Astyanax mexicanus: one gene and its partner. Each later gene encodes a partner of the first gene's protein in a complex. Links are inferred from orthologs where the notes say so. Each region holds a gene or a part of one and is shown on either strand. Other genes may lie near its edges.

Region 1 (12,809 bases):
CAAAATCATTCTTTTCTGTCCCACACCTCACATCACATCACCCCCACAAAACACACTTTCACCAACACCAACTAACTTTCTTTCCCACAGGATCATTACTCCACCAAAATTTCAATTTTTGACGCATAACGTACAGGATTACTCCACCAAAATCACATTTTTATGCCCCGCATCGTTGTACGGCTGTATTCAATATATCGACAGCACAGCTTCTCCAGGACCCTTACACCAGAACAGGACACCACCACAAAAATAATAATATTACCAAATAAATTTTCTGTTCCACATATGACAGGACAACTCCGCCAAAATTTAACCAACACCCTCACAAACTCGCACAAGCCAGACCACAAAAAAACCCAACAAAATTTACCATCTCTCTTCTTATGTCTGACCACCAAAATCATTCTTTTCTGTCCCACACCTCACATCACATCACCCCCACAAAACACACTTTCACCAACACCAACTAACTTTCTTTCCCACAGGATCATTACTCCACCAAAATTTCAATTTTTGACGCATAACGTACAGGATTACTCCACCAAAATCACATTTTTATGCCCCGCATCGTACAGCAGGGTCAGCAAGCGTGAAACATCTGGCTCGTGAGGTTGTTTGAACTGTAATGAACAATAATGAAAAAATGAATGAAAAAATTTTATTAATAAAATAAATAAAATGCTTCTCTGGTGAGCTTTTGTTTACATCCCTCCCCTGTCTCTCTCTCTCTGTCGCTCTCGGCAGTTCTTGTTTTTTCTCGTTCTCCTTATAAGGTTGTTTTTTCCTGGTCATGTCCCAATTCACTAGCCGAGGCAGCGTTAGTGTATTGGGCCGCGACCCTGAGGACACGGGTTGGATCCCGCGTGAGGAGCAGTGTGTTCAGTTATTGTCTTTTCTCCTTACTTCTTAAGTTTACCTGCTTCATTTTCAAAAAAAGGTTTTTTTTTTTTGTTACCTGCAACAAAATGGCTTAGAAAATATATGACGTGGCCAAAACTAAGTGCCGACCCCACATCATAAAGGACTCTACCAAAACCCTAAGTTTATGTCCCACACCGTATTGGACCACTCCACCAAACCCTAAATATTATGTCCCATATCGTACATGATCACTCCACCAAAACCCTAATTTCACCAAAAATTTTACCACTTACACCAGAACAGGACAAACAATCAGACCACAAAAAAACTAAATTTTACCAAATATCTCTCCTTTTGTCCAAACACCAAAATCATGCTTTTCTGTTCCACACTTCATATTACTTCAGCAAAACACACTTTCACCAACAACAACTTTCTTCCCACAGGATCACTCCACCAAAACCCTCAATTTTTGACGCACATCGTACAGGATTACTCCACCAAAACACACTTGTCTTCAAGATATTTCAACTAGATCACTAGACCAAAACCCTAACCCTAAAAATAACCAAAACCTGTCCCACATCTAACTCCATAAAAACACTTAATTTAAACAAATTTCCCTCTCCAACCACCTTTTTTAGGGCGTTTTCACACCAGCACAGCACTATTTGGTTTGGTTAAAATGGACTCTGATTGGTTTGTACTCTTAGTGCAGTTCAATTGAGCAGGTGTGAAAACAGTAACGGTCTCAATCTGACCCAGCTATCAAATATACTCTTTTTATTTGAGTTAAACTCCTGATATAGCGCAGTTTAATCTGATATATTAGCCAGCTAATGGTAATTACCACAGCTATGAACAAACGCTGTATCTGCTGCTCCATGCTGTTTACACACTGAGTGCGGTATGAGCTGTGTGCACTGCTTACAGCCGAGCAATTCCGTTTAATACGTGTACATCTGAACTGCTGCATGTCATATTAAAAACACAGTGCCATGTCAATTTTTCAGCGTCCTGTGTTAAAGCAGCTTCACACCGCACAGATATAAAAGATATACACACTGGAACATAGAATCTTCTCGCTATGTATACTTTCTTACTCCAATATTAGACAGTTCTGACCAATCAGAGGAGACTATGACGTGCTTGCGTGGTTTATTTGTGCGAATTTTGATGCGTTTAAGGTTTTTGTGCCTGTGTGAAAACAAACCAAACAGAGGGAGAAACTGAAGCTCCAAATAAACAAACTCATCAACTGATTCAGACCATAGAAACCTTCACAACTACAGGTGTGAAAACGCACTTAAATATGTTTCACATTCTCAAAAGATCACTTTATTGGGTGGAGCTAAAACTGATAAACTGAAAAGATGTATACATGTAAATTTGATGTTTTTATGTACGTTCTGTAGCTTATTTTTCTGTAAATGGAGTGTGATTTAGCATGAACACATTTTAAACTTGAGGACTGTACAAAACAAAAACAATAGTTAAGCTTTTTGATAGAACAGGCTTAACTTTAAGCTAAAATTAACTAAACGGGAAACTCCTATTTTGTAAAACACATCCCTGCTAACTAGTTAACCCATATGCCGTGCATTTAAAGGAGGTTTAAAAGTTGCTCTGTCAAATTCTGCCAGTCAGAAATAGGAAATTGTAAAGAAACAGTAATTTCTGCTTAATATATTCATTCAAGCATATATTGTACACAGTGTATTAGATGCTGATGTGAGTTATTAGCTGAAAGTCAGCACTGAAGTTGAAGCTGGTGTGAAATAGAAACTGAAAGTAGCCTGGTTGGTATAAGAAGCCGGGTGGTGTGTGTATATATGAGCTAAACGCTACGCTACATCCGCCTCCAGCGCTCTAATGTGGTTTAGACTGAAGCTCTTTCTTTCATTAAGGAAAGAGTGGGCTATTTCTGAACGGTTGTGCTTCTACTCTGCTTCTGAACCACGTACACAACAGCCTTAAAAGTGCTGTTCACAACTGTTTCCACTTTCCTTAATTGTATTCAATCAATAAATCAATTAATCAATCAATCAGGACACATTTAGGGTGTGAAGCTTAACACCCACGATCTGGAGAATCCCCTGCCCTGCACACTTTACCGCTCTTTACCTGAACCCAACACACCTGATCCAACTAATCAGCTCATTAACAAGCTTCACCTGAGTAGAAGGTAAAGTACTTCAGGTGTGAAAACTCTCAAAAATAAATAAATAAAAGAACTGAGGCTAAATGGCTTCTGCAATCCTTCAAGTACAGGTCTTTTGTTATTTCAGTCATTTCTCATTTTCTGTAAATAAATGCTCTAAATGAGAATATTTTTATTTGTAATTTGGGAGAAATGTTGTCTGTAGTTTATAGAATAAAACAACAATGTTCATTTTACTCAAACATAAACCTATAAATAGCAAAATCAGAGAAACTGATTCAGAAACTGAAGTGATCTCTTCATTTTTTACAGAGATGTATATTCCATGTTAAAATATCTCCAAAGTAATTTTTTTGTTAATTTTGCTCCCATTTTTATTTTTTCAACGTTTTGCCAAATTGCCAAGAATCTTATCATCGTAAAAGTAACCTGAAATATTGTGATATTTTCTTTAAGGGCATAGCACACTATTCTCTGCGATTATCCTGTGGGAAAGGGAATCTTCTACAGTTCTACAGTAAGTTTGTTCAGATTTAGTCTGATCCAGTCTTAATATGTTCAGTAATTATATATATATATATATATATATATATATATACAGTATGCTGTTTGCAGAAGGACGCAAACACATAGGATTTTGCGTTTAGTTGCTCTCAAAAATACTCTACTTAAAGTGGACACAACATTTCTGCCAGTCAACCATAAATATATAAGATATAACCACAACCTGTTCACAGACGCAATGGAATTGCGGAAAACTACAAGTTATTCAGCTCTGGGGGAAAAATGAGACCACCTTTTCTCTGATTTTGCTATTTATAGGTTTATGTTTGAGTAAAATGAACATTGTTGTTTTATTCTTATTCTCCCTAGTAATAATAAGTCATTTAGAGCATTTATTTACAGAAAATGACTGGAAAATTGCAGAAATTGCATTAAAAAAATAACAAAACCGATGCAGAGCTTTCAGACATTGAATAGTGCAAAGAAAACAAGTTCACAATATTTGGTGGAATAACCAAATATTGCATCTTGGCATCATGTTCTCCTCCACCAGTCTTACACACTGCTTTTGGATAACTTTATGCTGCTTTACTCCTGGTGCAAAAATTAATTCAAGCAGTTCAGTTTGGTGGTTTGATGGTTTTTAAAGATTACCTGTCTTCCTCTTGATTATGTTCTAGAGGTTTTCAATTTGGTAAAATCAAAATAAATTTAATCATTTTTAAGTGGTCTAATTTTTTCCAGAGCTATATTTGTTGGACGCAATAAAGCAAACCCTAAAGCTAATGCTAGCTACACAGTGGTTGGAAGCCAAGGTCATTTTTGTCGCCAAAACCAAAATCAGACCCATTTCTACGCTACACCAATGCTAAATGATAAAATAAAACATATTACATAAGTGTTGGTGCTTTTGTCGTTTCTTACCCGATCCTTCTCGTGCGGCAGCAGGCGAACGGGAGGCAGCGACTCCAGCGATACGCAGCCGGTGCCGTCGCTGTGGGAGCTGCGGCTGATCAGCCGGAAGAGCGGCCCCTGCTTGGCGACTCGGCCGTGGGCTACGGCGCGTTTCAGCGCCAGCCTCAGCTGCTGGTGGAAGATGCCGGGTCCCATGGAGCCGCTGCCCGACAGGTAGCCGGCCACGTCGGCCTGGCACTTCAGGAAGCGTTCGATGCTCTTGATGGTAGAACCTCCGGCCTCGTGGAGACCATCCAGAGCACGTTTGATCAGCTTGTTCCAGTCCAGGCCTGGCTTTTTGGAAGAACCGGAGGTGCTACTACTTCCACCACCTCCACCACCACCACTACTACCACTACCACCACCGCCACCGCCTCCACCTCCACCTCCTCCGCCGCTCGCACCTCCACCTCGCGGCTTGGGAAGAGCGAGGCGACCAGGATTGTCTGGATCCTTGTAGGAATTGAGGCCTTTATTGGAGACCTTGAGGATGGACCCGTCTTTGACGCTGAGTTCAAGGTGCTCCAAGACCGTCTTGCGGTCCAGGCCGTGCGACATGTTCACGGCATTGCAGATCCTCTCCTCAGAAGGCCTCTGCTTCTGCTTCTTCACCTTCTTGATGGCCTCGAGGATCCAGGTGGTGTAGAGCGGATTGGCCAGCTTCACCATGGTTGCGTTCGGTTAGAGACACAGACGAACAAACAAACAAACGAACGAACGAAACGAACGCTCAAGCGCACGAAAACCGTTCAGGAAGCACCCAAAGGCCTCAGCCCCGGCGCCACCCGTTCCTCGCCCGCGCCTCCTCCTCCTGGACGTCCTCAGAGACTACCCTTTGTCCCTGGGCCGTGTGGAAAGTCTCTCAAAGCCTGAGCAGAAGCAATGAGGGAGGGGGCTGATCACCATAGCATTAGCTTTTAGCCCCACCACCTACCCCAGATTTTTACCCCCCCCCACCCCCAAAAAAAGGTCCTAGCTACCCCAGCAACCCCCCTCCTACCACTGCTGGGTAGCACCACAGCTAAAAGAGAACGCCCAATCACGGCTGGGCTTGTCCGGGACAATTCCACGTTGAAGAACGTGAAGCAGCTTGCAATATGTTGGTGGACACCAACCGGCGTCTTCCCGAAAAAAAAAAGACGAAGAAAATGTTTTTAAACTCCAAAAGGTACGAGAGATAGGATAAGGAATGAGATCAGGAAGTTTTATCCAATCGAAAAATGTATAATCTCCTCAGTTTGTGGCCGTGGAAAAAAAAAATTTAACAAAAAAAAAAAACAAAAAAATAAAATAATGCAGAGGGTAATGTGGACGTCACGCAGCGGTTCTCCTCTCTTTATCCGTCCGTTATCCTTTCTTTCCACCGCCGTCCACGCTTTACACTTTTTCGCAGAAGGTCGGGAGTAAATCCAGTAAACCGTCCACTCAGGAGGAGATCACCTTCATGCCGAGCTGGTCTTCAGCCGCTGCTGATTTCTGCATAAAACACAAAGATAAAAAAAAAAATACAGAAATTAATAAGAGAAATTATATTCTTCTAGAAATAGCATTAAATAATGTGTGCTTTTAATTTATAACATATATTAGGTTTAGAAACTCCTCACTGTGAACTAAAACAATATATACTACAATTTAAAAGTTTTAAAAACACCCCTATTGTTTAGTAGTCCAGTAGCTGCTTTTTATTTTATCTTAAGCTTATCAATAACTTTATTACTGCACTTCTTCACTTGTCAGACTAACTCAAATTCTTCTCTTCTCTGCTGAAACTGAGACTTAGTCCAAATCATGTTAATCTGAGCTAAAGGCTAAAGGGGCTGTTTCCATGTGGGTCAGCCAGACATCTTCCTGAAGCAGTTATCTCCAGTTTCCAAAAGTCTTTTGAAGGTTTAGGAAATATATAATAGCTGTTTGGGGCAGAATCTGCCAAATCGCTAGTGTTTTCACTGGTTTGGGAGGTGTTTTGGTTGTGTAATATGTCTTGTATAGGCAGGTGTGTTTACACTGCTATAACTTTAGGTTTAAAAAGGTCTCAGACCACCTCCTAAAGTTTGTATTTGTTTTAAATTCACTTTGCACATGTTTACACTAGCATTGTTAATAAAGATTAACCCAAATATAATCCTGATTGATAATCCAAATTAAGTCCTGTAGTCAGCAGGTGTAAACTGGTCAAAGTGACTTTGGCAGCTTTAGCATTCCCATACTCAGCCCAGAAAATAAAAACAGATCTGTTCACATTAAAGCAAATAATTAAGATTTGAGTCACTTCAGCCTGGTAATAAGTACACAGCTTTAGCTGCTATTCCATCTTCAGAATCTGGAATATTCACCAGTTCAGCCCCCCAAAATAAACAAAAAGCTCTCTCCATCTTCTTGACGGAAAACATCTCAGCGACTCCACAGATTAAAAACTCATCCATTTCCTTGATACGTAAACTCAGACAGGTGAGCAAACAAACTGACCTGACCTGCGCTGAACTCATACAAGAAAGGTTAACCTAGTCTCCACACCCAAGACCTTGTATCTCCTTTGGCCTACACTACATTCACTAATGAGAACTGCAAAAAAAATACAAAAGCAAACAAGAAAACACTGAGGATGTACGATAACAATAGAGCTTTGCTTGTTTCACATTCATTGGGACAGTCACTGACAAAATGTAACATTACTTCAGTATATTTATTTAGAATGGCAGAAATTAGGCAAAAAAGCCTATTTGAGGCTAAAGCTGTTGCCATGTGGGTCAGCCGGATATAGATATCTGACAGATATTTGGGCAGAATCTGAAAATCTCTCATGGAATGGTAATTACAACTGTTTTCCACTGGTTTGGGAAGTGTTTTAGTTGTGGTACTTTCCTTGTATAGACATATTAAGTTTAAATAGGTCTCAGACTTCCTCCTGAAGTGGTCAGAGCGATCTGATTTTCGTATCTGTTTTAAATTCACTCTGCGTGCGTTTAAACTAGCATTGTTAATGTGGATCTGCCCAGATATAATCCTTATTGATATGCAAAATTCCTGCAGTCAGCAGGTGTAAACTGGTCAAAGTGACTCCGATGTTTATTTATTCAGAACGGCAGAAATTAAGACTAAATCCACTTGGGGAACTTCAGCCGAGTTCAATTAATACAGCAACAAATCCCATTCAAATTAAACATGTACACTATGATTGATAAAGGTCATTGTGCATGTTTACTGCTTAGTTCTTAAGGAAACTTACTGCGAACCTTAACGAAACAGAAAGCACATTCCCCAAATTAAACTTTAACTATTTACTTAGCTTTACTGCATTATAGTCTTTGTAAAGGACACAAGCATATAAGTACACAAATACACACACTAAATATATTTATGATCACTACTAAAACACAAATTATGGTTTATCCTAAAGTTTTTGACCCAGTTCTGCTGTATTTATGACCTGTGTTTGTACTCTCAGATTTAGAAAAAGCTCAGAACCGCACTACTGTTTTGAATGAAAGCTGAACAGATAATGTAAACAGCAATGGCTAAACCCTGAACACAAGATTTAAGGATCTAATTTGGGATTTCAACAAAAAGCACTGAAGAGAAGTGTGCCTGACAGAGTCTACAACAAAAACAAAACCAAGCAGACTGAAGAAAACTTGTTTATAATTTTTCATTTAGTCACCACTGCTAAAAACAGCACAATAAGTTTTGAAGCCACATTTTTTGACCAAGTTCTACTGTATTTATGGCCTGTGTGTGTACTCTCAGAGTCAGAGGAAACTCAAAACTGCACTATTGTTTTGAATGGAGCTAAACACAGGATGTACACAGCGATGGCTAGCCAAGAAACAAGTTGCTAAATAAAAAAGACCAACGGAAATCATTCTAAATTTGTAAATACAAGGAATATCACCATTAAAACTCTGAAACAGTAGATTTAAGGGATCTAATTCGGGATATCAACAAAAAGCATTGAAGAGGAGCATGCCTGACAGAGGCTACAACCAAAACAAAACAAGCAGAAGAAAACACGTGTTTACACTCCTTACAAGTTTTTAAATTTAGTTTTAGATTTTAGTTGGAAACAACTTAAGTATTTAGGACTAAGTTACTTTCAAAACAACTAGCTTAGGTTAGCTCACCTATCCAAGTCTGTTTACAGCTAACAGCTTTGAAAACCGAGTCGTTTTAAGCCTATTTGACACAGAAATATAATACAGATTTACTTCAAACATGTCAAAAACTTAAACATATGAAATAACTAGGTAAAAACATAACACTAACACAAGCACTGAGCTAACCTACGCTAACTAACAACAGAAATAACACTACTGTAGATATAACAGCTAGCTAGCCACACTAAAAAGGAGTGTTTAACAAATCTATTGTAAACGTACACGCATTTTAAACGTTCAAAATGGGATAAAATACAAATATCGCTATTAAAGATAAAAACTATAAATATAAAAAGCACAGAAAAGCTACGATACTAATAGTTAACTTACATACCCAACCACCTTCCCGCTATCCTGAGTTTCTTTTGGGTTAGCTTAGCATAGCGAATCCAAAAAATGCAGCCGAAAAAGGGAGGAAAATGAAACAAATCGGAGAAAAACGTGTCTGATCTGCGTTAAAAATAAGAAGTATACACTGTCTGCGAACAAAAACGAAGACTAAACACGTAAAACAAACCAAAACAGGCTTAAATCCCGTTACAACGTACGAAAACACACACACAGAGGCAGGTTAGCTGGCTAGCTTCAGTTAGCTATTTTCGTACGTGGTTCTTTCGATAGCTTAGCATTAGCTTTAGCATTAGCATATCAAATCCACAATGCAGTCCGAACAGAGGTAACGTTAAGTTATAAGAGATAAGCAACAAATGTAGGTATTTAGGTTAAAAAAGAAGGAGTACATATTATTAACGAATTAAAATACGCAATAAAAATGTCCAACAACGCAAAAGCAGGTTTAAAATATGCGTAAGGAAAAAAACACGTTAGAGAGGAAAGCGCTTAGTTTTTAGCTTAGCCTACCAGCTCTCTATTTTCCGTGCGTTTTCCTATGGCTGTTAGCATTAGCTTAGCGTTAGCTTTCAGCGTTAGCTTAGCATTAGCCGATCTCCCACTGAGAAAGCCGCGGCCTGCCGACACACACACAATGCGAGGAGCGAAGCGCGAGGAGACGGGGCACGATTCCTCTCGTTTTACGCTCATTTTGTGCACATTTCTACACAAAATATGTGCGAAATATATTTACCAAACACATCTACGCATTCTAAACTACAGATCTATCCATATTACTGCGCGAAAGGTTCGTTTTTAAAGCATAAAATCACGATTCTTCCATAGGTTGGATAGCTAGCTTAGCTTGGCTTGGCTAGTTACCTCCCTCCCTCCTCCTCCTCCTTCTTCCCCCCGCTTACATTCTAGCTCTGCGCGGCCTCCAATTTTTCCCGAGAAAAAGCTTTTAAATCGCTAAATCTGAGCTAAATCAGATTTTTAAGAAAATCTATAGTGTTAATCACCGTGTAAATGTATAAGCAAACCCCGCGAAAGAAAGGTAGATAACATAGCTAAGCTAACCAGGTTACACCCGCTAGCGCTACTAGCCCGAGAGCGGTCCAGCGCAGGAGGCTCAGCCCGGCAGCGCGACGCGGGCCCCGGCTAGCGCTCTGAGTTTTCCCCGCTCTCGCTGCGCCCCCTACCGATCGTCCCCTCTAACCGCAGCCCCCCGAGCTCCACAGCCCCGCGTCCCCCCGCTCCTCCCCCTCCCAGGCTGGGTTGTTTCAAACCGGGACGGACCCTCTCCCTTTCCCCCCTCCTCCTCCTCCTCCTCTTCCCTCCCTTTATAAAAATAATAAACAAACACAGAAAAGAGCGTTTTAAAGCCGGCTGAATCAGCCCCGCCGCTTACCGGGGTTTGAGGTCGAGTCTCCGCAGAGAGCGCGCCGAGGAGCCGAGAGGAACGCGGACAACAACAAGCCCGAAGCAGCGCAGCCAGAGAGCGGAGGCTCCGGAGCGGCCGCCATCTTTCAGTGAAACAGGAGCGCTGGTGGGGAGGAGGTGGAGGTGGGGGGGAGAGGCGGAGTGAGGGAGCGTCGCCAAACTCACACACCCTGTTCAGAAACGAAAAGTGAAGCGTGGGGAGTTGTAGTTGTAGAAGTGTGTGTGTGTGTGTGTGTGTGTGTGTATGACAGGGTTCGTACAAGGGCTGTGCAATACTGCAAAATTTCTTATCGATCCAATACCAAGTAAATACAGGGCCAGTATTGCAGATACCAATACCAATATCCATCTTTACCATCAAGCGGCCGGCGCTCAGAGGGAGCACAATTGGCCCTGCTCCCTCCGGGTGGGTAGATGGCGCTCTTTCCCTAAAGGGTGATGTCCGCAGCACAGGGCGTCTGTGAGCTGATGTATCAGAACTGAGACTCTGTGCTTTCCTCCGAGCGTTATCGCTGTGATGCTGCTCGGCAATGCTGCATCAGCAGCAGCTGGAAAAGAAGCGGTGGCTGACTTCACATGTATCAGAGGAAGCATGTGTTATTCTTCACCCTCCTGGTGTGTTGGGGCATCACTGATTAGTGGGTTGGGTAATTGGCTGTGCTAAATTGGGGAGAAAATGGGAAAAGTTTAGGAAAAAAGATTTCCTTTAATTACCCATGTTTTGATGATGATAAAACACAGGACAAAGGTTTCAGGCAATTTAAATAAATTTATAAGGTAACTCAGAAATATTTATAGAAATCCTAAAACTTACATTTCCCTTTTGGGTGGTAATCTGCAATTGCATTTAACAAAATGCTAATTTGACAGTATTTCATGTTTAAGGCATAGCTATATCTTTTTGTAGGTAGGATATCTATTTTCTTTTTCAGTTCCAGTGAAAAAAAATTAATTTAGAAAAGGGGAGAGGCTAATTGAGCATGAGTGAAGTGAGAGAAGATGTTGTACGGTCAGTCAGTCACACTGTAAATGCCTGGAGTTGTACCGAAGGTAAACTGAAACTTAAGAATAAATCTCTTCACACAAGTATCGATAAATACCCAATACCAATTTCAGTATTGATAGTTCGTATGGTCATGAAAAACCTTGAAAAGTCATGGGATTTGAAAATAGCAATTTCCTGAATAAGTTTTGGAAAAATAAAAATACCTAGAAAGTTTAGGAAAAGTCATGGAATTTTGGTTTACAAATCTTTGTGTTTCAGTTTATCGATGGAGAAATTCAATTTGAGCTACTAAATAAGTCATCTCAGAGTTAATGCAGTAATTTAGACCTAAACAATGGAGCTCTCAGGACCTGACTCACATTTTATTATTAAAAATTGTGTGTCAGATTCATTTTAGACCTGCTATAATAATTTTGTTTATAGTTTTAGTTGATTTTTGGTTTTACTGTCCATGTCTGCACTGATGTTTTAAAAACCATATGATCATGAAAATGTGCCTTAAAGGCCTGGAAAAAGTCATGAAAATAATCATGGAAATTTATTGATTAAATGTGTATAAACCCTGATATGGTTTGGAGTTAAATCTGTGTGACCAGAACCTGATCCAAAAAAACATGATTCTTGAAAATAAAGGGTGTGAAATATATATATATATACCCTCAAATATTTAGATATTTAAAATTCAGGTACAGAAATTTCAGTTTAGAACAGTTTTGAGATGATAATGAGAGATAACTCAAATTGTGGCTAAATAAAATAATTCAGGTACAAAATTTTAGGTAAAAAAATCATGTATCAAAAAAAATCAGGGATTTAAAATTCAGGTCGTTATTGATGCTAAGAATCATTCTTCTACAAAAACATCACATTCTGATAACTACAAATTTTACTAATTACATTTTTTAAACCCACCATCACCCAATTATGATTAGTTTATTGTTAGTTTTATTTTATTACTGTTATTAATATGGAGCCCCTAAAGGGCCATGGGTTAAAAAAAAGAAAATGACTGCATTCGCTCGCAAAAACAAAAACTGGAGAAAACTGCATCATCCATTACTATGGAGTATGGAGCAACTACTGTAATAGAATTTTACTTTGATCATGGACAGAAATATAAAGACATAAAGCCCTATCTGGATGGGTTTAGTTTCTCAGGGGGGGGTCTGTGAGAAATATTTCACACTTCTACTCTTTAGTGATAAAACTCCTGCATCCGGAATATAATTAAAAAACAGGAGGACCAGTGATTTTTGTCTCTGCTTTCTCGGTCGCATGACATCGCGTTCAGTAGCTCCTCCATTTCCACTCGCTGTTGTGTTTTTTCATGGATCTTGTGGAAATGCGCAGCCAAAGTGTAATTACGGTGTGCAGCAGTGGACAAATAGCTATTTTA
Region 2 (12,867 bases), on another chromosome or scaffold:
AAGGATCATCACCAGCCATGCTAACAATCAACAAAAGGCAACAGGGTCGGGTCAGAACCATCTTATTTTTTTCATTTAATGATTCAAATTCAGATCAACCCTGAGTAGAAACTGAAGAGTGCAGTCAAACCTTGTTGTGACTTTCAAAGTAGGACTCCTTCTCCAGACGATCCATCAGGTACTCAAAGACCTCCTGGGGGATCGGCGTTACTCCATCAATGCGCCTTTTGTCATTCATGATGTCAAGCCAGATATAGTCTTCCTCATCTATGTCATACTCCACCTCTTCATCCAGCTCCTCCACAGACTTATCTATGTACCTGTAGTGTAAATGTGGGGGAGGCAAAAAAGACATTTAGGTTCAATAAAAAAAAAAACATGTAGTTTAGTTAGGGTTTAGCTTTCTAAAATATAAAATAATAATCTTAATAAATAAATGAGCGATTCTCGATTACAATTGCGATTTTTAAGTTCTTACATAATTTCAGTTTTCTTTATTTGTAAACTGACAGCACCATTCAAAGGGCAAATAAACCTCCTGATTTTAGCTGACTTGATACTGAATTTTGAAAAATGTTATAAAATAAGAAGGGTAATGTGAGAGGGGCACAGGGTGCTGTATGCATTTAGGGGCAGACAAGAGGGAGAGCTGATTGGGCTGAGCAGTAAGCCTCTGATAGCGGTGAGACATCATTGAGAAGTTAGATATCACCACGAGGCAGGATTATTGATTGAGTGTCCACGTACCAAAGGACACAGAAACATCCCCCTGACCTATAGCACAATTGAACCTGTGAGTGTGCTTTTAAAAAAAGTGTTTTTTAAAGGTTAGGAAAGGTTTATAAAAAAATTATGCAGCACTGGTATGTTTTATTACTTCAAAGGAACACATTTCAGCTATTATTACAAAATATAGTTTAGGGTTTAGTGCCTCTTTAAAGTTATGTGCAAGCTATTGTTTTCTTTACATTTTCATTTCAACTATATAAATTTTTTTTAACGTACAGTAAGCAGCTTTTATATATAACCTAGAGTTGCACGGTGTACCGAAGGTTCGATTCTTTTTCGATACTACGTCATCACAAACGATTCGGTTCTTTAGCGTTCGATGCTTTCGATACTGTACATAGCCCAGTCACTAGCTTCAAATGAGTCAAATTAGTAGGCGCGATTTGATTCAGTTCATAAGAAAACTGATTCACACCGCAGCAGTCGGAGTGGCAGGATTCAGATAAACTTAGTGTTCTGAACAAATGAATCGATTCACGTGTGAATCGATTCATTTGACTCGGTTGAGAGCGACACACGCACGCGCAAGCCAGCAGAGCAGCAGCGAGTGTAGAATGGCGACAGCTAAAATAACAGATGTCTCTCGTCCGCGACTTGGACAAAACGGGCGCGAGGAGTGAAGTGTGGGCAAATTTTGCTTACATCGCTGATGAAGAAGGGCATCCGACCAACACCACAAACCCAGTTTGTAAACGGTGTTATAAGTCTATCCAGTGCAGAGGAGTAGAGCTTAGATTCTCTGCCCGAACCCGAACTGACCCGAGGCACGTTCGGGCCGAGATTTCCCACCACATTCCTCGGGCCGGGTCGGGTTCGGGCTCCAGAAAATAGTCTGAGATGCAGGCATCTGTTTTTTATTTATATTTTTATTTTTAAATAAAATAACGAAAACTGAAAGTGAAACTAAACTACTTTATTTATAAGCACTGTTTTCACTCCCGCAGTTGCACAGCGGGGGGTGTTGTGCCGATTCTGTCCGCGAAGCGGGAGTCGGATTCAGTAGCGGATTCGGCACAAGCGTGGCGGCACCTCACGGCCCGCGGTGTTAGTTGTAAGCGCTCGCGCTAGCCGCAAAATACGACAGAAAACACTGAGGGAGCTGCAGAGTTATGTGTGGGACTAGAATATGAGCACGAGGAAATAAAAGAGAATCTTTACCTGTGAGTAGTTCACATCAGAACACGCAAATCTCTCTCTCTCACTCTTGCTGTGTCTCTCTCTCTGTGTCTCTCTCTCTGTGTCTCTCTCTGTCTCTCTCGCACGTGAACGCCTCCGCGTTTGACCTGCAGCACTGTGTTTAGCTGTTCTTAAAAATCATTTTAATTAAATAATAGTTCTATGCTTCTATGTTACAGTGTTATTTAACATAATTCTGATCATATTTCGCTCATTCAAACAGCCCGAAAACAGCCAGGATGTTCACGTTTTCGCGTTTCCATCGCAAATCTGTGGTCAGGCACATAGCCTGCTTGATCGTTACACTGAACATGGGCTTATTAAAAACGGTAAACGGTTGATTAATAAAACGGAGCAGTCAGTGTTAAAATGAACATAACATTGTAACGTTCTTCTGTCTCTTTATTTTCCTTATTCAGAACTTAACTTCTGCCCGCCCGTCAGGTTCACATAGTCAGGCTACCATTACCTCTGGTTCTAGTTTTAGTTTTTAGGAAGTGTTTAGATAATTATGTTATAGTTAAGGTTATAATAACGAAACTTGTTTTTTTGTTCAAATGTTTCATTTTAGAATAAAAACGTTTGCACCGATTGTTCAGTGTTCAATCCAGTTCAGTCAAAAATAAACATTTTATGTTCAGATATTTTTATTGTTTTTTTTCTTCCAAGTATCGTTTTGGTATCGAGAATCGTGATACTACAGTTGGTATCGGTATCGAAGTCAAAATTTTGGTATTGTGACAACCCTAACCCTATTTATATTTTGGTTACATATAAGAAAAATTGTAAAATTTGAAAATCTCTGTTATATAAAAAAAAGTTCTTTAAAGGTTTCTGACAGAAGCAAATATACCAGTCTGTCTACTGAGATTCACTCTGCAGCTTCTATATGTAAAGGATCTCCATTTTCCTATTTTGAAAGTCGCAGATTAATTCCATTCCATGATTCCATTAATTCCATTCCATATCTAATTAATATAAACTCCCACCCCTAACTATTGTACATTCATTTTTTTTTTTTACTTTTTGTAAAAATGCTCCAAAATGACATGAATTTCAGTCCTTTTACACTGAATTCCATTGAAGTTTAGAAGGTTCATACTATATTATTTATTTTTGCATGAGTTTTTCTGAGAATAATTTTTTAAACTACAGTGGTGGATGTGTACATGCAGAGTGTTGCAGTCCTTGGTTTCCATTAAATACAAATCATTTGGTTTCACTGTAACACTTTACTTGGAGCGTCCATTTTTGATGCTTCATAGACGCATCAATATATCTATTAATTGCAAGTAAAACAAATGATTCTCTATTTAATGTAACCCTAAACCTGTACCCAAAACCTTACTATTTTAGGTTTAGGTTTAGGATTAAGTTTAGGTTATTTTTGGGGTTAAATTTTTTGAGTTGATTTAAGATTAGAGTTAGGGTTGAGCGTTAGAGTTAGGTGTATAGTCCATAGAGAAACATTTTCATTCAGCTGAAGGGTCAGTTGCATGGAACAAATTTTTAGTTAAATGTAAATTTAAATAATAAGTGAGCATCTACAAGGCATCTTTAATGAACCATGCAAATAAAGTGATATCATTAGTTCCTCTACACTGAACCATTAGAAACCACTATCAAGGATTTTGTTTACAGATACATATGTTCATTAGATGAAGATTTTGAAAGAAACACTATATTTTCGCATTTAATTTTTTTAAATTAAGCAACAAATTAAAGAAGCAAGAAATACGGACACCAAGTCATATCCTGGCTAAATGACTACACTCAGTGTAAATTTGATTCTTGATAAAGCATAACTTTAACGCAGAATATATGAGCAGAAGATGCCTAAATGCTTACCTGTAATAAGACAGCGTCCGTGGTGGTGCATCAGGTCTCTCCTGATCCAGCTCTCGGAACACAGCCTCCGGCAACTTCACAGCCGGGCCAGCCATGTTACCATGATGATGCGAACCCTCCTTTTTCTTCTCTTTACTCTTGTGTTTACCGGATTTGGGTGTGGCCCCAGTCCCCTTTCCCCCATTGGCTGCACCAGGGGTGTCTGGCCTGTCCTTCCCGTTACCCCCGCCATCAGTCCCGCCCCCATCACCCCCATTACAAGCAGTGGAGCCTCCTGCACCAGAGGCAGGTGCATCCTCAGCATCGCTGTCTTCCTCCGACACAACGTCCAGGTCCTCGAAAATGCTGATCCGGTGCACTTTGCCGCCGATCTCAAGCTCCACCATGCGCTGAGCTTGGGCATAAGTCATAGTCTCCCTTTCAGGAGAATGGGAGTGTTCAGAGTGCTCCGCCGGACTGCCAGGCGTTCCACTTTGCCCGGGCAGTCCAGGCCCACCGCTGGAGTCTGCCCCGTCAACCGAGCCAGAGAGGGAGACCCGCGGCGGGCGACCCTTACGCTTCTTCTGGGGTGTGCTCTGGATGGGAGGTGGGTTGTCATGGTCATAGTGGTACAGGTGGTACTCGATGCCGCTGTAGCTCTTGTAGACCTTGCGGCAAGTTTCAATAGGGCACTCGTAGGGCGGTTTGGTGGCCCGTAGGTTGTGGCAGAATGTTTTCACGTCGAAGTCCAGCCCCATGCTGTCCGCAGACCCTGCAGAGAAGAGGTCCAGCTTACATCTGGTAAAAAAGGAAAGAAAATAAAAATGGAATTAAAAGAGTGCACTATGTACTGTTCAGAGTCCTCCACCAAGTCATAATTACGAGATGCTAAGTCACAATTATACCTCATAAATAAGATACAGTGGTATGAAAAGTTTGGGCACCCTTGATATTTTTGTGATTTTCCTTTATAAATCAATGGTTGTTCAGATCAGCAACTTCAGTTAAATTCATCATATAGCAGACAAACAGTGAAATTTGAGAAGTGAAATAAAGTGTGCAAGAAGGCTGTTTATGCCCAAACAACTCAATTTTAGTTTCATCAGTCCACAGCACCTTATTTCAAAAATGTAGCTGGCTTGTCCAAATGTGCTTCAGCATACCTCAAGCGACTCTGTTTGTGGCGTGTGCTCAGAAAAGGCTTCTCCTGCATTATTATCCCATACAGCCTCTACTTGTGCAAAGTGTGCTGAATAGTTGAACAAGACATAGTGACTCCATCTGCAGCAAGAGGATGATGCAGCTCTTTAGAGATGGTCTGTGGGTTGAGTTTGACTGTTCTCCCCATCCCTCTCCTCTGCTTATCTGAGATTTTTTAACTGCCTGCCACTTTAGGCCTTAACTGGAACTGTGCCTGTGGTCTTCCATTTCCTCTCCATGTTCCTCACAGTGGAAATTTTTGTATTCTTTTTGTACTCTTCCCCTAAACCATGATGTTGAACAATCATTTGAGAGTTGTTCTAAAGCTCCCATGTTGTCACGCTTCAGAGAAGATGCAGAAGAAAAACTTGCAATTGTTCACCTTAACCTTTATTGATTCAAATCAATAAAATGACAAGGGTGCCCAAATTTATGCACGTCTAATTTTGTTTAAAGAATTATTACACGCTTTCTGTAAATTCTATAAACCCACTTCCCAAATATCAATGTGTTCGTCTGCTATAGAATATATTTAACTGAAATTGCTGATCCTAACAAACTACTGACCTATACAGGAAAATCATAAAAAATGATCAGGTGTGCCCATACTTTTTCATACCACTAATTTCATACCCCCAGATTTAACTCAGAAGTATGACTTACTATCTTGTAATCGTGACTTACCATCTCATAATTATGACTTAATATCGCAATTGTAACTTAGTGGAGGACCCTCGCTTTTTTCCGCGTGGCGGGAAATGTGTTTCCACAGTTTGTGATTAGCCTGGTTAGCTATAAGTTCAGAGCATCTCTGTAGCTTCAATGTTTCCCTCCAGTGGCTCTCCTCCCTCAGGCTCCTCTAACAGAGAACTGCCTACTCACTGCCACAGTCACTAAGCAGCAAAAAATAGGTTTAAAATGCCTGTTTTGTTAATTTGCTGCTTTAAAATAGATTAGTCCTCTCAGTGTTCCATAACCCGTGGTTACAGTAACCATAGGTAATGTATTTACTTCTACAGCTCCACCAGCAGCTCCCTCACTCACTGCAGTGAACGAGCAGCAGGGAGGCTAGCCCAGCTAGTGCACTAGCTACCTGTCTGCATCTTAACCAGCTAAATCTGAAAATAAGCAGTTTTAGAGCTGTATGGTGAGCGAGTTCAGCTAAAGAGACCCCTAAACTGGTCTCTGTATCCAGTAAAAGGCAGTAATTCTCCCACCCAGAACAGAAGGAACTGTTAGAAACACTCACTCCTCCTCCTGCCTTCTCTTGTCAACAGCAGCACAATATCCAGCTCAAGATCCGGCGGAGACGCTCCAAAACCAGCGAGATTCACACAGAAAATATCCCTGAATCTGAGCCGACACAGCTTTAATCACAGCGGGTTAAAACGTATGAAATCCCCCGTAAATCAGCCTGAAAACAGAATAAAAGCTACAGGAACTGAAGCGAACAAAAGGGGCTACAGTTGAATCCCACAGGCGCGTGGCCGCACATTCGCCATTTTCACATGACAAGCCAGTAATTATTGTGGCCGCCAACGACTAGAGTGAGGAGGTGAGTAACCCAGGTCCATAAAATAAAAATCCACCCCAGGGTTTTGTACCAACGGCCTGGGCGGCTAAGCTGCGGCAGAGCCTGGGGTGGATTTTTACTTTTTGGACCTGGGTTACCCACCTCTAGTTGTTGCTTTCATTAAAAATATGTAACGTTATATATCTAAACAGTGAACTTTAAATTTATTAGATAAATAAAGCCTGCACTGCCGGAAACTCGCGCAGGCTAAAACTCGCCTATGTATGTTGGTTAGTTAGTTAGCTTAGCTTAGCTCGGGTTAGCTAGCTAGTTAGCTACTTCCTTCCTGAGCCTGTTTTGAACCTTTTCGCGAATCAGTGGATACATTTCACAGTAAGCGGTTAGTTACGGGTCTCTCCCAGTCTGTCGGAGAGATTTAATATTCCTGTATTTATTGTGGGGAAAATGTATTTAATGTGTAAAAGTGGAAACATACAGGGTGGGGAATTCCTTTTAAATAAAATGACAAATAAAAAAATGTATTTAATTTTTGTTGCAAAATCTTACCCTAGTTGGTTTAGCAGTTTCATTTTCTGACCATATCAAGCTAAATTCGAAAATAGAAATTTGGGCATTAGTATAGTGATAGTGAAGAATAAATAGGTTTTCTTCCAATTTTTAAATTATCTAGTGTTTCATTTTATCCTTTCGCAAACAGAATTTCAAGAAAAATGAAAAGTTGAATCTTCTTTTCAGATTTGTCCATTTTTGGACATTTTGTAATACAAACCTGATGATATAATTCAACTTGCAAAATGCAAAAATCTGAAAAATCTAAAAGATTCATTTAATTTTTTCCTGAAATTCTGATTGTGAGGGACAGAGAAGAAAAAAAAAATAAAATGAGAAAAATTGATAAAAAATCTCTTGTACACTGTACCATGTAAAAAAAAAAGAAATAATGGTTTTGTTTTGTTGGTCAGTGTTACTTTTTTTTATTAAATTTCCAGACAGTTTGAGGTTAAATGCAAAAAAAAAAAAAAAAAAACCTGAAAATTGGATGTAGAAATAGATTAATTCTTTTTTTATGTTGTGCAGTGTACAAGAGAAAAAAAAATTTATCCATTTTTCAATTTTAGTTTTTCATCTCTGCCCCTCACTATTTTAGGAAAAATGAAAAAATGAACCATTTACTTGCTGATTTTTCAATTTTTGCATTTTGCAATTTGGTTTAAAACATCAGATTTGTGTTACAAGGTACAAAAATGATTTTATATATATACACACAATAAGTCTGATTTGTTACATTTTATTTATACTAAATAGGGATGCACCCCATTAAAGGTAAAGAGGAAAATTGCTCAGGTGATATAGTAAAGCCGGAATAACTGAACAGGTAAATCTCTGAAAAGTTTAGCCTCCAGTCTTTTCAGATTTTTTTTTTTTTTTTGCATAAACAAATTATTATTTAGAAAACACGTTTATCAAGAGAACATACCAGAACTAAATGCACATTAAAACCAGCAATGCCAAACCAGAGAATCTCTAGAGAGGAGAATAAATGGGTTTATGTGGAACAACTGATGGAAAAGGTTTATAAATGTCTGATCAATTTAATACTGAAACACAGAACTATATCAAATGTTTCAGTACTGTAGGCCTTACTTTAAGTTTGTGTAACTCCAGCATCAGATTATCAACCAATCAGATCACAGTAGCAGAGATGCAGCATCTTTACAGTGTAAAGCCAGCTTGTTTACTGTAGAAAAAAGGAAATAACGCTACGCTTTCTTTACATTTTTTAGTAAAATGAATTATAATACTTTCTAAAATTGAAGAAATATCCAGAATAAGTTTCTAATTACTATTTTTAATTTAAAGGTTTTAGCTTTTGGGTCCATTCACACCTGTTCATAGAGGACATAGTGTGACAGTGATTTAAGGATAAAACGGGGAAATAAAGCGGTGAGACTCTCAGTAAACAGCTCTGGTCCTGCAACAGACCCGTTGTTCTCTCTTTTCTGTGATCCCTTTGGCTGAATGTAGCCGCTGCTCTTTTTATTTGTACTGGTCAGAATTTAATTACGGTTGTGTGTCCCTGGTCTTTATACACTATAGAGAACCAGAACTGCTAAAATAAAAATAAAAATAATTACTAAATAAAATAGAAAATGTAAAAGAGAATAAGAATATAAAAACACAACTCATTTATATGCAACATAAACTAATGCCAATAATCACAAATTCAGTGTATAAATAAATAATATTCTTTTAACACATTTCTTCTGTATACAAATCTGAACCTTTTGTTCAGTTTATTTAGTCAAGCTTTTTCCGTGTATTTATTTTATTTATACACTGCATCAATAAATTAATTTAACATTTCATGTTGCATAACTAATCTCTATTTTTTTATTATTATGGGCAATTCCACTGAATAGGTGCCATTTCTGTCCCCAGGTATAAATGTATAAATGTGCACACAAAATAACTTTAAAATACATTTTATAATTAAGCATAGCGTCTTGTACATTTGTCTAATGAGGTAATTAAAAACATTAATAAAAAAATAGAACACTAAAAGAATAGCATTAGTTACACGTCCCCACTCTCTAACTATGAACTTCACCATCAAATCTAATTATTAAAATCCTTCAGAGATGTATTTTTCGCATTGTTGTGTGACTCCAAATCCTATATATGTTGTACAAATATTTTTTTGCGTAATAAATCCATAATATTTAACTTAAAATACACATTTTAGTTGTGTCCCTGGGTTATTACTTAGTCCTGTTACAGTAAAACGTGAGGTCGATCTCAGCACTCTGTCCTGTTACCTAAATTCATTCTTAGATAGTATTTGTTTATTTTTAAAATACAAATTTTGGGAAATCACTAGAATGTGTTCAGTGTCCTCATGTTATTAGCATAGCCACCACTTAGCTATTTTCATGTTTTTGCTAATTCTATGCTATGCAGGACTCAGTCCTGTTACTTTCAGTCCTTTCATTCCATAAATATGTTATTTGAACATGCAGTTAACCATTTCTTTAAAAAAAAAACTCTTTGAGGGAAAAGTATTTTATTAGTGCACTTGCTTTTAAGAATGATTTTTAAACGTCACATGTGTTTTGTAACCATTTTTGAATTAGAAACCAAAATAATTAAGTAAAACTGTCTGAGATTGACCAGTACATGTTTTGAATAGTTTATTACATGTGTTATTAGATTCAGAGTTAAAAAAAGATGAGAAAAAATGTTTAATTTGGAAGAATTACAACAAGCAAATGGCACCCATTCAGTAGAATGGCCCACATAAATAATTTCTTTCATTATTTCTGCCAAAAAAAAGTGCAATATGCATTAATGTGACAGGTGCAAAAGTATGGGCACCCTTATCATTTTATTGAATACTCCTAACTACTTTTTACTGACATACTGAAGCACAAAATTGGTTTGGTAACCTCATTGAGCTTTGAACTTCATAGCCAAGTGTAAGTTGTAAGGTGTAAGGTGGCCAATTGCAAGTTGTTCTCCTATTTGAATCTCCTCTGAAGAGGGGCATCATGGGCTCATCAACATAATTGTTCAGGGGAAGTTTCCACTGTGAGGAACATAGTAAGGAAAGACAGGGACACAGGGGCAGTTCTTGTTAAGCCCAGAAGTGGCAGGTCAAGAAAAATATCAGAAAGGCAGAGAAGAAGAATGGTGAGAACAGTCAAGGACAATCCACAGACCACCTCCAAAGAGCTGCAGCATCATCTTGCTGCAGATGGTGTCACTGTGCATCGGTCAACAATACAGCGCACTTTGCACAAGGAGAAGCTGTATGGGAGAGTGATGCGAAAGAAGCCATTTCTGCAAACACGCCACAAACAGAGTCGCCTGACCCAAAAGCTGTGCTTTTGCATACCTCAGGCGACTCTGGTTGTGGCGTGCATATATAGTTATATATATATATATATATATATATAGCTGCAAGAAAAAGTATGTGAATCCTTTGGGGATTACTAAAGAGTTCTGATCTTCATCTACGTCACAACAATAAACAAACACAGTCTGCTTAAACTAACACCACACAAAATATATGTTTGCATGGTTTTATTGAACACAACTTGTTAATATTCACAGTGCAGGGTGAAAAAAGTATGTGAAACCCTCAGCTAGGTGTATTTAATTAGAATTCAGTACGTATTCAGTATTTTGTCAGGCCAAGGTCTAGATCGTTATAATTTTTAACTTGTGTTGTGATTCAGTGCTATATCCTGTATCAGGGGTGCAACTACAGGTCCTTCTCAAAATATTTGCATATTGTGATAAAGTTCATTATTTTCTGTAATGTACTGATAAACATTAGACTTTCATATATTTTAGATTCATTACACACAACTGAAGTAGTTCAAGACTTTTATTGTTTTAATATTGATGATTTTGGCAAAAAAAGTAAAGAAAAAAACATAAATCCCTATCTCAAAAAATGTGCATATTTCATCCAACTAATTATGAAAAGTGTTTTTAATACAAAAAAAAGTCAACGTTCAAATAATTATGTTCAGTTATGCACTCAATACTTGGTCTAAATCCTTTTGCAGAAATGACTGCTTCAATGCGGTGTGGCATGGAGGCAATCAGCCTGTGGCACTGCTGAGGTGTTATGGAGGCCCAGGATGCTTCGATAGCGGCCTTAAGCTCATCCAGAGTGTCGGGTCTTCCGTCTCTCAACTTTCTCTTCACAATAGCCCACAGATTCTCTATGGGCTTCAGGTCAGGAGAGTTGGCAGGCCAATTGAGCACAGTAATACCATGGTCAGTAAACCATTTCCCAGTGGTTTTGGCACTGTGAGCAGGTGCCAGGTCGTGGTGAAAAATGAAATCTTCATCTCCATAAAGCTTTTCAGCAGATGGAAGCATGAAGTGCTCCAAAATCTCCTGATAGCTAGCTGCATTGACCCTGCCCTTGATAAAACACAGTGGACCAACACCAGCAGCTGACATGGCACCCCAGACCATCCCTGACTGTGGGTACTTGACACTGGACTTCAGGCATTTTGGCATTTCTTTCTCCCCAGTTTTCCTCCAGACTCTGGCACCTTGATTTCCGAATGACTTGCAAAAATTGAGCAACAGTCCAGTGCTGTTCTAGACCAGCCACAGCCGCTTGCAACTCTCTGCGTGTAACGCAGTAGTTCCACTCCGCTTTATCCAAACGCCTGCTAAAATACGAGATTACGCGTTTAGCCCCGTCGTAAATTTATGACAGGACTGCCCCAATGCCGTGGTCGCTCGCATCCGTATCGACCACAAACTGTTTGTTCAGTCTAGGGTACGCCAGAATTGACGTTTTACACAAGCGCTTCTTTAGCAGCCCAAAAGCATGATCAGCTTCACTCGACCACTTGAATTTAGTCCCGCCCTTCGTCAGCTGATGCAGCGGCGCAGCAATATCGGCAAATATCCTCACAATAGTATGACGCTGGCCCCAAAAAGCCACGTAACGTCTTCAAATTACACGCCGTTGGCCAATCTAGTACAGCTTTAGTTTTCTCCAGGTCCAACGCAATCCCCACCTCGCTCACTACGTGCACTAAGTAGTTCACTTTGTTCTGCAGTAAATTACACTTCACCGGGTTCAGCTTCAAATTAGCCGCAATAATTAGACCCAATACTAGCTCCAAATTTGCCAGAGCTCAATGCGTGGACCAACAAATCATCCAGGTACACTACGCAGGTGGACTTGGGGATGTCCTCTAATACGCGCTCCATCAAACGCTTGAATGTTGCCGCCGTGTTGCAAAGCCCGAACGGCAGAACGCGAAACTGCCATAGTTCTGTCTTAAACGTTAAAGCAGTTTTTTCGTCCGACTCCGCTAACGGAATTTGCCAATATCCACTACGCAAATCGAGTGTACTAAACCATGCGGACCCAGATAGTTGTTCCAAAGAGTCGTCAATATGCGGAAATGGGTATGAATCCAGCTTAGTGACCGCATTTAGTTTCTGTAATCCACGCAAAAACGGCATGACCCATATTTCTTTACCACGGTAAAGTTAGTTTCATTTTTGATATTCGACATTTCGGCTCTAATAACTTCTGAACGGAGGATGGTAGCCAGCAGATACTTACATAATCAGGACAGTACGACCACAGAGAGTGACGCACACCCTTGCTTTTACTGTTTGGGTGAAATTTGCGCAACGCCCTTTTAATACCGAAAAACTAAGCGCACTTTTATGCAAAATGCTCTAATTTTTTATTATATTTTATATATTCACAAATTCAATAGCATTTCAGCAACTGTGTATGTCACAGCTAGGTGGCAGCAGACACGCACACCATTTATATTTTGGATACAGTGTCAATT

The links.
Region 2: kat6a (region 1) and brpf1 share a complex: the UniProt entries of both Homo sapiens proteins name them as parts of the MOZ/MORF complex. The link is inferred for Astyanax mexicanus from reciprocal best matches to the Homo sapiens genes KAT6A and BRPF1.

Annotation. Positions count from the first base shown.
Region 1 is NC_064429.1:37,474,483-37,487,291, forward strand, and holds the start of kat6a (histone acetyltransferase KAT6A), read right to left. Parts: upstream 5,431-12,809; 5' UTR 5,153-5,430; coding exon 4,454-5,152; intron 1-4,453. UniProt on the Homo sapiens protein: Histone acetyltransferase that acetylates lysine residues in histone H3 and histone H4 (in vitro). Component of the MOZ/MORF complex which has a histone H3 acetyltransferase activity. May act as a transcriptional coactivator for RUNX1 and RUNX2.
Region 2 is NC_064419.1:13,070,884-13,083,750, reverse strand, and holds the start of brpf1 (peregrin), read right to left. Parts: upstream 6,830-12,867; 5' UTR 6,242-6,829; intron 6,166-6,241; exon of another isoform or gene 5,677-6,165; intron 4,591-5,676; 5' UTR 4,551-4,590; coding exon 3,814-4,550; intron 321-3,813; coding exon 131-320; intron 1-130. UniProt on the Homo sapiens protein: Scaffold subunit of various histone acetyltransferase (HAT) complexes, such as the MOZ/MORF and HBO1 complexes, which have a histone H3 acetyltransferase activity.